Drosophila melanogaster: one gene and its partner. The protein of the gene in region 2 interacts with the protein of the main gene of each other region in a pairwise test. Each region holds a gene or a part of one and is shown on either strand. Other genes may lie near its edges.

Evidence for each region. The genes of interacting proteins can lie anywhere in the genome.
Region 1: the proteins of CG13377 (region 2) and Jupiter interact in a two-hybrid assay, tested with the Drosophila melanogaster proteins (one large-scale study listed by BioGRID).

The regions. Positions count from the first base shown.
Region 1 is NT_033777.3:11,601,750-11,606,463, reverse strand, and holds the start of Jupiter (jupiter), read left to right. Parts: upstream 1-1,709; 5' UTR 1,710-1,878; intron 1,879-2,180; 5' UTR 2,181-2,260; coding exon 2,261-2,322; intron 2,323-4,714. UniProt on the Drosophila melanogaster protein: Binds to all microtubule populations.
Region 2 is NC_004354.4:257,998-265,802, reverse strand, and holds CG13377 (uncharacterized protein), read left to right. Parts: upstream 1-1,803; 5' UTR 1,804-1,941; exon of another isoform or gene 1,942-2,135; intron 2,136-6,112; exon of another isoform or gene 6,113-6,131; 5' UTR 6,132-6,141; coding exon 6,142-6,910; exon of another isoform or gene 6,911-6,974; coding exon 6,975-7,198; 3' UTR 7,199-7,468; downstream 7,469-7,805. Other genes in the region: cin (cinnamon), read right to left, coding at 7,518-7,661, 7,723-7,805.

The DNA.
Region 1 (4,714 bases), on a different chromosome or scaffold from region 2:
GAAATTACACCATAATTGACATATTTTTCAATATTTCTCGCAGTAACAATTTGAATAAACTGTGAGTTGATGGGAAACTAGCTGAACTGTCAACTCTGGGGCAAGTACATAACGCCTAGGCTTTTACTTGCGCACAGCGACCGGCAAAAGGGGGCAAGTGGCATGTTGGTGTCAGGTTGCCGCATGTGCACCACTCCGCCGAATGCCCGCACCACCTCTGGCAACCCGTGCACCGCTCAGTGGGTAGCTAGTCCCACGACCCACCGATGGTAAAATAGCAAAACGGCAAGAAGCAGCGGCTGCGGCGACGACACGGCCAGTCAACTTTTGGCTCGGCTAAACAAAAGTGTCTTCGCAAGCTAAAAATAACCACTGTTTTGGCCCAGCTGCTTCCAACACACCCCTACCCTCTCCTCATTTTCCCGCCGACTTTGTGGCTCCATGGCCCGATCCTCTTAGTCGCTAGCTTGCGCTTCCTGTTCTGTGTGCAAATCTGTGCCAAATGTTTTCCAAGAAAACGCAGTATGCAAATACATATTGCATTTAAATTCTTGCTGCAGCAGCAGCAAAGCAGCAGCAAGTGTGGCAAATACAGGAAAAGGGGCAAAAGGGGCGGCCTCATTAGTGGCAAGACACTTGAAATTAGAGTTTGCAACTACTGCTACTGCTGCTGCTGTTGGCCCCAACCGAACTGAACGCTTGGCGATGATGAAAGTGATTTATGTCCGGCAAAGCAATGTTCCTCAGCTCCTCGTAGACACGAGACCCGATGTCTGGCCTGGCAGCAGCTTCATCTTGGCCAGGAAACATGTTTGTGGGCTGCTACCGCCTTGCAGCTGTGCTGTCCACACCCTGTAATCAAAGATAAGAAGCGTGTTGGAAATGGGGGGGGCTAAGTTCATAATGTTTTAGTACAAACTGAAATAGATATGAGCCTTTCTTTCGGCATTCAACTGCGATTTGTTTGTAGAGCTTGGATTTAGATTATAATAAGGTTTGGGTTTATAAGCCTGGTAGTTGAATTTTAGTGAATTGTGTATTTTTTGCAATCATTCAATAAAGTATAAATTTGATTTTTGCTATGGGTACATTTGGGTTTAAAACTTTGAATGCACTTGATTTTTTTAAGAGAAACTAGTTTTAAAAAACGAAGAAGATCAAGCAGAAGAAGCTGAGAAAAGAAACAATTGCATAGGAACCCTGAAGTGCACTAGACCTGAACTATTACTATTTTTTCGCTTTTCTAGCGCTTTTTGCAATGGCACGGCATAACTGAAGCATATCTGCGCACACTTCTCGCCGGTGGGGCACATAAAATGAGATAAATAAATGCAGAATGTTAATCCCGCAAGTGTCTTAAACACGGCTTAAGTATATGTTTTATTTTCGCTTCAGTTCCTGGCGTATTTTAAACTTTTTTGTGACCTACAAGCGGAGTGAAGAACTCACCACGAGTTGGGTTCTGCCCCACAAGTGAGAGATAGAGAGAGGGAGAGAGCATGGAAGAGAGCGGGCTCCAACTCTAATCAGCATCAGCTGTAGTTTGTTTTTGTTTTGATGCGCCACATGGCGGGCACTCACTCTCTTGCGCTCCCGCTCTCTTCCCGTGCAGCTTTTGCGCTCTGAGTGAGTTGGGTTTCGGTCGTTGTTTTTGGATCGATAAAACTTCTCGCGCTGCCGTGGTATAAAATGCTTTTCACTTTTCCCACTGCACTTTAGTCGCCAGACATTTATCGAAACGTGCACATCACCAGCGGTCGCACACTCAAACATATTGCATATATATATATATATATATATATTGCTATCCCAACAAAATATCCTTCGAATCGAAAAAAACCCACGCGAGTGCAAATCAAAAGTTTTTTAGCTTTCTTTGTGAGTGAAGTGTTTTTTGGGAATTTTTTCGGTAGTTGGTTGGGAAAACGTTGCAAGATATCCTGGCTTATCCAACTAAAGGAATTTCGTCCGTTTTCTGTCCGCTCTTACTGCACCCCCCTCTCCGCATATCTCTTGTCCGTTCTCTCCCGGGATGCTCCTTGCATTCTCTCGCAGTTGAGTAGGGTTTATTGATTTTACGCACATGCAGCATCCCCATCTATGAGTCATCATCATTCGTCCTGCAACATTTTCCCCCACGTGCCTAATCTCCGTTTTCCCCCACATCCGCGTGCGCTTAGATTTTTCCAGTGCGAAAAGTAAAGCAATTGCATCCATTCAACAGAGAGATTATCCTTTCGCCAAACAAATAGAAACAGAAATGGCCGCCTACGCTGCTTTCAAACACGTTGAGCTTTACAATGTTGGCAAAGCAAAGAAGAGGTAAGAAATTCCTAAAGGATACAGTTAAAGTGACATTTTTAAAGACTTCAGAACAAAGAATTTGCATGTCAAAAAATGAATCGATAAATTCGTTGTCCGGATTTATTACACATTTTTACACGGAAAAGGGAGTTCATCAGTTTTTGTCAATGCATGTCCCCATGCAAGAAAAGTCGTTTAATACGAGTACAAAAAGTGGCCTTTGTTAATAATGCTTTTGTCAAAAACCATCTTCTGAGGTTTTAAAAGGGTATAAATCACCATGACGCACAAAGAGAATCATATGGCTGGTAATTTCAGTAAATAGATATATTATCAATATTTATTCAAAATGAGTCTCACTAATTATGACAAGCTGCAAAGAATTGAAGGAATATTGTTTTGACAATGACGAACAATGATTAGTAGGTTCTTTATTAACAAATAATGTTCTCATGTAAATCATTACAGCTAGGACAATCAATATATTCTGTATTTGTTTAAAAATCTGTGTATCATAATAACGTAACTTACACGATGTTACTCAATGTGTTTGACTTATATTGAGGTTATTCGCCGACCGACTCATTTTCCCTGAAGTTTAACAACTGTTACGTGCCTACTGCACATTCTGTTATTGTTTGCCATCGCTCGAGTGAACTTTGATTGGCAAACATTTCGGAAGGCAGCAGCCTCATCGTGATCTGCATCAACATCTCCATTTCCATCTTTATCCCATTGTCTGAGCTGTCGGGCCGCACAAACACCGCACACTTACATATTCATTTGGTTATGTGTGTAGATTAATTTAGCGTTCATTCACCTCGCCGCCGCCTGACTGACTGACTAACTAATACTACCCATACAGTCGCGTGTGCACGGGGCGTATGTGTAATCTGGGGAGCACCACTTTTGCAAGCGCCTACTTCCCACAAAACCGAAACCACCTAGCAAGTGAACCACCACCACCCAGCAAAGCCAAGCCAAGCCAAGCCGCCGGTGTTGGCATGTCTTTGGATGTCGTCTCATTGATTTTCCTTTGCCAACCCAACGGCCACCTGCCCCACGCCAACCCACCGCACAAAGCACCACCCGCGACACCACCACTGCAGTCGTCCACTCGATGCTACCGCACCAAAGTCAAAGGGACCGACCGGCGTTCTTTGGGAATATACCCTTTCTTGCTCCGAGGCGTATGACAATCTCTTTTCGTGCCATCAAAACAATGCGCAATTTTAATTACGAGGTGTTAACGAAATATACTATTTGACGTGACACTACTACTAATAATAATAATGTTTGCACATCTAAGCAAAAGTGATTTCTCGGCTTCATCTGTGTTTCATTTAATTTCAAGGAGTAACTGCCAAACCGCTCTGTCAGTCTTTGCATAAAAAAAAATGGTGGCTTTATTAAACTATTTTTAGTTTATTAAAACTTGTTTTATTAGTACATAGACTTTGAAAGTTCAAAGTGTAGAATGGCATTTTTACAGTTATGAAGCTTATGATTTTTTATGGCATACTAAAATCCATAATAGCCGCCTATGGTGTACTAAAAACATTGGTTATGCAGTTATTATGAAAATTCAATTTTAGCTTCAACTCACTTTTCGGCAATCAAACAGATTTGTTAAACATAAAAACTGATTAGATTCGCCCATTATCCAAATGATACGAAATATAATAAAATGTTTATTATTGAACAATCACGTCCTATTACCGCTAAAAATAAATCATTATATTATTACCGTTTATCGCCGCTTGTACGACGAGGGTATTTCCCCCATCGACTTCTCTCAACTATGGCCCGCCTTTCTTTTTCAGTTAGTTTCGGCATTTGTTTTTGCATGCAATTCTTTGACCAAGCCCCATGTGCCCAGCACCACCCATTTTTCGCCTTTCGAGTGGGGAAACAACAACAAAATCGTTATCGAAATGTTTTTCGCTTATGTCTATTCCGTATACCACTCTTACGCTCTCGTACCTGTTCCGAGTTTGAATTCGTGTCCAAGTCCGCTTCCCTGTCCGCTGTTCCGACCGTCTGTCCGTCCGTCCGTTCAACTGTCCGTTTGTCCGTTGTCCGTCGTCCGCTGGTCCGTGGCGGACATTGAACCCCGCCTCTCTTCGCGGCCGTTGGGATCGGAGATTAGTTTTGGTCGCGGCAGAAACCAAATAGAAACAATTTTCCTTATGTGTGCCATGTGCATTATAAACAATTTGCTGGATTTTATGGTCCATCGATGGGTGGCTGGCTGCTGGGGATAAAGTGTGGAAAATGTGTTAATCATTGTCATTGATTGCGATTGTGTAACATACCGCCTTGGACTTTCCCGCCGGCGGCTGGGGGGAAAATGATTAATATACTTTTCCTCTGCATTTCGATGCAGCGTTTTGTCTGCCGTGTGTGTGTG
Region 2 (7,805 bases):
CTGAATGAGTAATGAAATTGTATTTTTTGGCAAAACTTTTGAAAACAACATAGAGGAGAAATTGTAAGTTTTTCATTCTGTACATTCTGTATGGAAACATTTTCTGTTGAATACAGGTGAATAGTGAATTTACTATAAAATTAAGCAAGTTATGTATTCAAATGTTAGACAACTATTTTTATAGATTTATCAGGGGTTAGTTCATAACATGGCCAAAACAGATATCACCGCTAATATGCAGTCTGTTTCGTACTGCCAATAAACATAGCTAACTATCCCTATCACTATTTTCATTATTATTATATTATTAAACTCTTGGACAGCTATTATAAGATATAACCGCTTAAATAAATACTATTTCGTACTGCCAATAAACATAGCTAACTATCCCTATCATTAAAATTTGCGAAAAATGGGAAAAAAAAAATTAATTTTTATTTCTTCATACAGGACGATAGGGAATTTTGCTACGAATTCAATGAGGTTGACATTTAACTCTTTGACAGCTGTTTTTAATGCTATTGAGAAAATACTGATTACTTTTTACCAAAAATAAACAAAATAAAAATTGCCAAAAATAAACAAAATAAAAATTTGCAAAAATCGGATATTTACAAACGGGTTTTTTTTTCATAACTTGGCCAAAAAAGATTCACCGGCAAAATTAGGACTACAGATTGTTGTTTGCCAAAAAAAAAGAGCAAGATAAAAATGTTGTCTCCATAGCTGCGACAAAAAATTGTATCACAGGTATTTTGAAGACTGCTGTTTATAAAACTAGCTAACTGTCCCCATACCTATTTTATGTTTTTCGAATACAAACTAAGATCTGTGAAAAATAGAAACTACCAAAGGATGACATTCCAAAACAGGTGCCAAGCTAACGGGTGTCGAGAAACGCGTAAAGCAAGTAAAGCCTTTTTAATTTAAAAAGTGGATAGGCTAAACTTTATATAATTTTTGACACTTTGTCTTTAAGCGAACGGCGGCAGAAGAGCCAGATTCCACCGACTTCTACTGGAAAAACTCGTTTCGCGTTTTTTCTTAAGCGTTGAACCAATATGGTAACTCCTTTTACTGACCAAAATTTCAGAGAGAAATTCACTAAACGCACCGAATGTTTACCTTTTCATCAACAAAATAATATTGGCTGCCTCAATTTTCGCTTCTTGTACATGTTCTGTATAGGCTTTAATTGATATTTCTCTTAAACCATCAACAGGTTTTCGGTCGACTTGGCCAATTGCAGTTGGAACCAAACCGCTTCTTACCCCCTTTTCTTTCAAGCTGGCAATTTTTCTTGTGTTTCAGGTTTTCCTTAGTGCAAAATTGAGCGGAAAAACTCGGCCGATTTTGCTTCCAGTCTATATTCATATATCCAGCTCAACCATTTGGCACTTAACACTGCAATTACCAGCGAAATTTCAATATTTCCACAAGGGACTTAATCGCCGGAATCATGATACTCTTACATTCGTAAAAGTTATTGTGCGCTAAAAAAGGCACCCATATTTGTCAGGCACTGGACAGGTTGTGAGCCTTCAAAATGTGGTATGTAATATAGTGGTTCGGGAAGATTATTCATATTCATGTCTCCGGACCCCAAAAACTTTAAAACCAGTTAAGGATCACCAGCTATCGCTTGACATTTGTTCACCTAACACACGATCACAAAGCGAGTTTTAAAGAAGGCCTTTACAAAAGGTGGGGGGCACGACTCTACGTGATGGGGCCGAAAGACTTCGTCTACGACGCCTGGTCTTCGGCTATTTTTGTTCGGTTAAGCAAACCCGAAATTCAAGCCACCAGTCTTCAGTTCAAACTCAGTCAATAAAGTCGCAGTGCGGAAAAATATCGCAGACTCGAGAGTTGAAAACAACAAATAATAAGTAGCATAACTCTCTCTCTGTCGCACTCAATCAGGCCTGGGCCTGGCAGACTGTGTGTAAAATAAATAAATCAAAAAACAAAATTCAAGACATTATAGTGAATTTAAAGTGAATTATCAAGTATATATTCGCGTCGCGTTGGAAAATATACTTTTTTTTTTTTTTTTGTTTCTATAATAAAGTTTTGTCTAAGTGTAATTCTTTTAGCCAACCAGGTTTTAACTTTAATTAGACACATTCCAAAAGGTGAGCTCCAAACGTGTCTTAGGGCCAAAAGCTGGGCCTTCGAATGACGACGGCACGATCCCCCACATTCCCCGCTTTGTATTCCGATTTTATCTTGGCTTCAACTGCAGATTTTTCCACACTAGCTAAAGCGTGTTTAGCTTTGCATTCCGATTTTATCTTGGCAACAGAAACAATAATGCGCCAGATATAATTATTAAATCATGGCAAGCAATGGCTTGAATGCAAAAAGCAACAAGTTCTGATATGGGGAAACCGGTTCTGGAATAGCTCTTCCACAAGCTCGCACACAAGATTGTTGATCCTGTTGCTCAAATCATTTAAGATTCAGACAGGTTCACTTTTAAATTTGGATGCATTTATTAACTGAGTACCGAAAAAAATTAACCGTTGCTACGCTTTTTGAGAATGTGTTTCTTTGGTTCAGAGCCCGTTTTCTTAAGTATTTTTAACTCTATTTCAGAGCTTGTTTTTAAACAGATTTAACAGTACAGATATGATAAAGGTAAACCATTAACTAAATTCGACCAAAATTATGTTCAACACCACACTCTTCTGACATAAAAAAAAAAAAAAATGAAAACACAGGCTATAGACGAGTGCCATGACTGCAAAGCAAATGCAGATATATTTCTATATAATAAAAATATTTTTCGAAAGTGTATAGATATTTCGTTGTGGATTCTTTGTCAGTTGCATGGAAACGGCGTATACGCAACAAAAAATTATTAGGCATGTCCAAACAGAGACATATGATTAAAATTCCCGAAGCATACGCAGATCAACCATCAAAAAACCTCAATTATAAAGTGGAAACACTAGGAAAGGAAAGTTTGATGACAACGTCCTAAATGTTCGCGATTACACTGAACTTTTTTTTTATTTTTTCGAATTGACTGCCACTGATGGTTAAGTCAGCAGAATTTGTTAATCTGTCTGTCTCTATTTTATTATCGTTTCCAACCGTTCTGTGCCTATCCATTTGATGTAAGATATCCTTGACTTTTGGGGCCTTCCCGCAGAAACAAAGATGTTTACAGTTATATACGTGTAAGCCCTTAAGCATCAATTGATTAAGTCCCATCTGATTTCGTGTATGTTTCCAACAAGAAAAAAGCTTAAAAGTGCATAGAAGGCATTCCAAATGGTTGCAAATAGAAAATAAGAAATAATAAAAAAAAAAAACATTTCAGAGAAGCAATTGACTTTGTTGAAATAGAAATAGCTTTGAAAGTGGCACAAAGCAATTTTAATGCTGAATGGAGCGTGAAGTTGTTCAGCTGCAACGCAAAGCATTTTTTAAGATTTTATTTTCGATTTTTGGGCCAACAAGAGTAGACATCTAAATTTAAAATAAAGTGCAATTATACATGACACACACACGATATCCGAATTTGCTTATGAATCAATAATTGGTTTGCAAACAAAAATACAAAGGTTTTATACATCGAAACAACTTTTTACACAACCTCGTCGTAGCAAGATATAAATATTTGCAAGATATAAAAATGAAATATCTTTAAAAAGAAAGACTTATACACAAAGCTATATAAACTGGAATTGTCATGCTAACAAAAATTATCTATACATACTTTATACGTTATCATCAAATACTTTCTTCCTTGCATAGAAACCCTTTGATTGAACTCATTTTATCCTAGCCAAGGGAACAATTCGGTCGAAAGCGATGGTAGATTATCATTTATAGGTTTCCTTTTACTACTCCCACGAAATGTAACCACATATTGATGGGTCGCAATAATGATGTCATCCGATCCCAAATTCTCGGAGTAAAGTGCCATCACGCCCGTGCTTAGCTCACTTGACTGGAAGCCGATGATCTAATCTTAATGGGGAATAGCAACATCAACAATCGCCACTATCTTACATCTGAACTTGAAAACAAGCGGAATATAATAAAAAAGTGCTGGTTGTGAACTTCAATAGAATGGCAACGCCGTAAACTTAATCAAAAACAAAGAACTAAAAAGAAAAGTCTTGCAAAGATTTTTAATTCATTGCAGTGGGTATGTTAAATCGTGGCCAAACACGATAGATTCATACAATATGTATATAGAACAATGAAAGTAATGTACTTCACATCTTAGCTCAGATACGAAATCTTGTAAATATAATTCTTAACTAAAAATTAAATAAATTAAATTCGTTAAATCTTCTCACTAAGTTTTTCCAATTTCCTCGTATTGTTTGATTGCCATAATGCTTTTGTTTTTTAAGCCGTTTGTTTGTTTTATTACCTAGCCGGTTGCGGTTGCAGTATCACTGTATCGGTAGTTTGACCAAAATCAGCGTACATTACGTTTATCCTACACATAAATTCCGCGAGTAAGCCCGAAATGCTGCAGATATGGCAAGCCCATTTCCGAGCGTCAACAAATTTCTTTCAGCTTAACAATGAAGGAAAACGGTGAAGCAGTCAGAGTATGTAAATTTAACAGCTAGTTCAAGCAAAAGATAAAACTGTCATTATGCCTTTAATTTTCATAATTTACCTCGAAGAATTATTTGATCACCAATAAATTTTTTTTAATAATGATCAAAAATCAAATATCAAAACTTCAAGCGGCGTAAACTGATACCGACTGGAACTATTTATTTGCTGTGTAATTGGGTTAAAAAGACTTGTCATAGCTCTTCAACTAGAGTAGTATGGGCACAAACTCTCAGTTCGGTTCATCCCCTGTCTGTAAAACGCACATACCAGACCCCATCCTTCCTTCATTTTCCTCATCAGAAGTGGAAAGTCGAGAAAACGTAGTCATAGCTTACTTCCAAATGGTTGGGTACGCCTCGCTGGACACGTTCGTTTGACGTGTCCATGGATCCAAAAATACTTGGATAGCTATGTATCTATATGCCGTTACCCCACTTGGAACATTTTCGATTTCTTCAAGAGATCGGCCGAATTTTTGTACACGCGTTGAAAAATGTGCAATAATTAAATAATTACAAATAAAAAGAGAGGAAATAGTGCAAGACAAGCGTAAAGTTGTTATTTGAGGCTCAAGAGTCAGACTGAGATGTACATGCATATGTATACGTGTATGTATATCCACTTCATATACTGCAAGTGCAATCTCAGGTTACCCAACTCTAGAGGGTGATTAAACTCCTCGTTTGGAAGAGAAAGTGTCCAATAAAGTAAATATATACGTGTTACACACATTTTCGTTATCAAACCTTTATAAACTTCTTGATGTTTAATTTCCTAACATCTTAATATACCCAGACTATATAAATTCAATCTCTGGTTACCGAACTCTAAAAGGTTATTAAACTTCTCGCCTAAATGAAAAAGTGTCGATTAGATCCAGACATAGTTTCATTAAAAAACATTTATAAAGTTCTTAATATTTAAATACCCAATCTCATATATATTCTTAGAGGTTTAAAACGCATTGGGTTTATTATATATTGCTTATTGTTTATTATTATATTGCATCAAGTCTACTGCGATTCTTCGGTCACTACGAGACACCGCAGAACTAAAAAGGATTGCATATTAAGACTTCAGGAGAAAGTGAAATTAAAAATTCTAAAATTTATTATATATATTAATATATAATAAGAGCTGTTCGAGGTCGTAGGGATAAATGTCATTGACATCTTGCTCAAAACGCATCGAATGAAACATCAGTTGTAAAAACCGAACACCTTAAACATTTTACGATAATGCCCCAAAGCTTTTGAGGTTCGTGTTACATTTGCAACTGTATAGCACTTCAGATTGCTTAACTATTTGCTATTTATATACAATTTCTTTCTTTTTTTAATTCGGCTATATAATCAAATCCTCTAAAATGTACCAATTAAATGCACTATAACGTTAAACTCTTGCTAGGTTTAAATATTTTTATGAAGATTGCCGACTGAGTAAATGTAAGAAAGATCATCTGTAGTCAGTATAAAACAAATTACATTTTCAGTTCTACCACATTGTTCACCTTTAATCTCACCTTTTTTCTGCTATTCCAGCGATGTCATAATGGAGGCAATGACCATGCTGGTGTTGGGCTTCCAGTTGCTTGCGCTTTTTTCGATCGCCGGCGCGCTGCTTATCTACCTGATTTGTAAGGTGCGCGAGGATAGCGCATCTGCCAATGCGGATAGTCATCCCAGTCGGGTGGTCCTGATAACCAGTGCGGATACCGCATTGGGTCTTCAATTGTGCACCCATTTGGCTAACAAGGGTTATCGGGTTTTTGCTGGAATGAAAGAGGCCCAAGATTCGCTACCCGCCAAACTTCTTTGCGGTTGGATGAAGATCCGAGAGTACAGTGAGGAACCCATTGCAGGCACAATTATTCCGATGAGATTGGATGTCACCCGAGAGGATGTGCTTCGCGAGGCCACCGTTATTATAGGCGCTAATCTAAATGCAGATGAGCGCGGTATTGCGGCCGTAATTAACACTAGTGGCAGTGTTTTCCGAGGCCAGGTTGAATCGCAGAATGTCCAGCAGTGGGAACACATGCTCAGAACCAACATCCTGGGCACCTTACGTGTGGCCAAGGCCTTTGTGTGTTTTCTCCGTCCGACACGTGGAAGACTCCTTTACTTGGGAGGAGTAAGTGGAGGTGGAAATGCTCGAAACGAAGGTGATGGACTGGTTGCCTTTAACGCCTCACGCGTTGCCGTAGACAAGTGTGCCGAAGAGCTGCGCAAGGAGCTGCATCCCTATGGCGTCAGTGTGGTCGCTTTGGATACATGCGGCATGACGGCGGAGTCATTGTACAAGGCACCAGTGGCACAAAGTAATGTTTTCCATCATCGTTGGGAATCAATTATATATAATTTTATGTTTGTAATTTATTTCAGCCATGTCCTTGGTCGTTGGGGCTCCTACGCAGTATACAGCGGACGTGCTCAGTCCGGACGCTCTTCATGTGATCGAGCGGGCGTTGTGGGACTATGTTCCGCAGCAGCGATATGCGCTTCTAAGTCATAACAAATACCAATTTGCGTTGCCATGTCGCTCCTCGCTGCGACTTCAGAGGCCGGTAGCTTCAACAGTCGGCGAGAGCGCCAGTCAGTCGGTTTAAAATTTGTCTTCTTCCATTTCCTGTACATATGCTCCTGATCCTGATCCCATTTAGTATAACGCGTCTGATCCTGCTCCTTTCCCTAATTTAATATTTTTACAATATATTTCGATTGATGTTTCTTTTTTCTGTTCTGAGGGCTTTTATAATATTTACTTTTTAATCGTTTTTGCTCACACTGCTAACGGTGTAATTGTTGAACGTTATATTTAATGTTATCATACATAAAAAAATAAAGATAATATATGTGCTGTCTATATATGTCTGTCCAACTTCTGGAATTTATACCTTTGTTTTACATTTTACGTTTGTGTAGTTCTTATTCGTACTTCGAGATAAAGTCAAAGCGCAACACGGAGGCCGGGAAAATTTCACCAGCTTTCGCCAATGGTCGATCAGAAGTACGTGCAGGAAGGTTTATTAAAACATCGGCACCAACAATGCTCTGCAAGCGACTACTAATCTAGAATAATCGCAGGAAAACCGTCATAATATGTCGTTTAATTTAAGGAAAAGTGGCTTACTTGATTTCCATTGACGCTCGCGTATAACTCTCCAGACTTCGAAATCACGGAGGCCCGAACGAACTCCGGGCGGCTATCTAAGC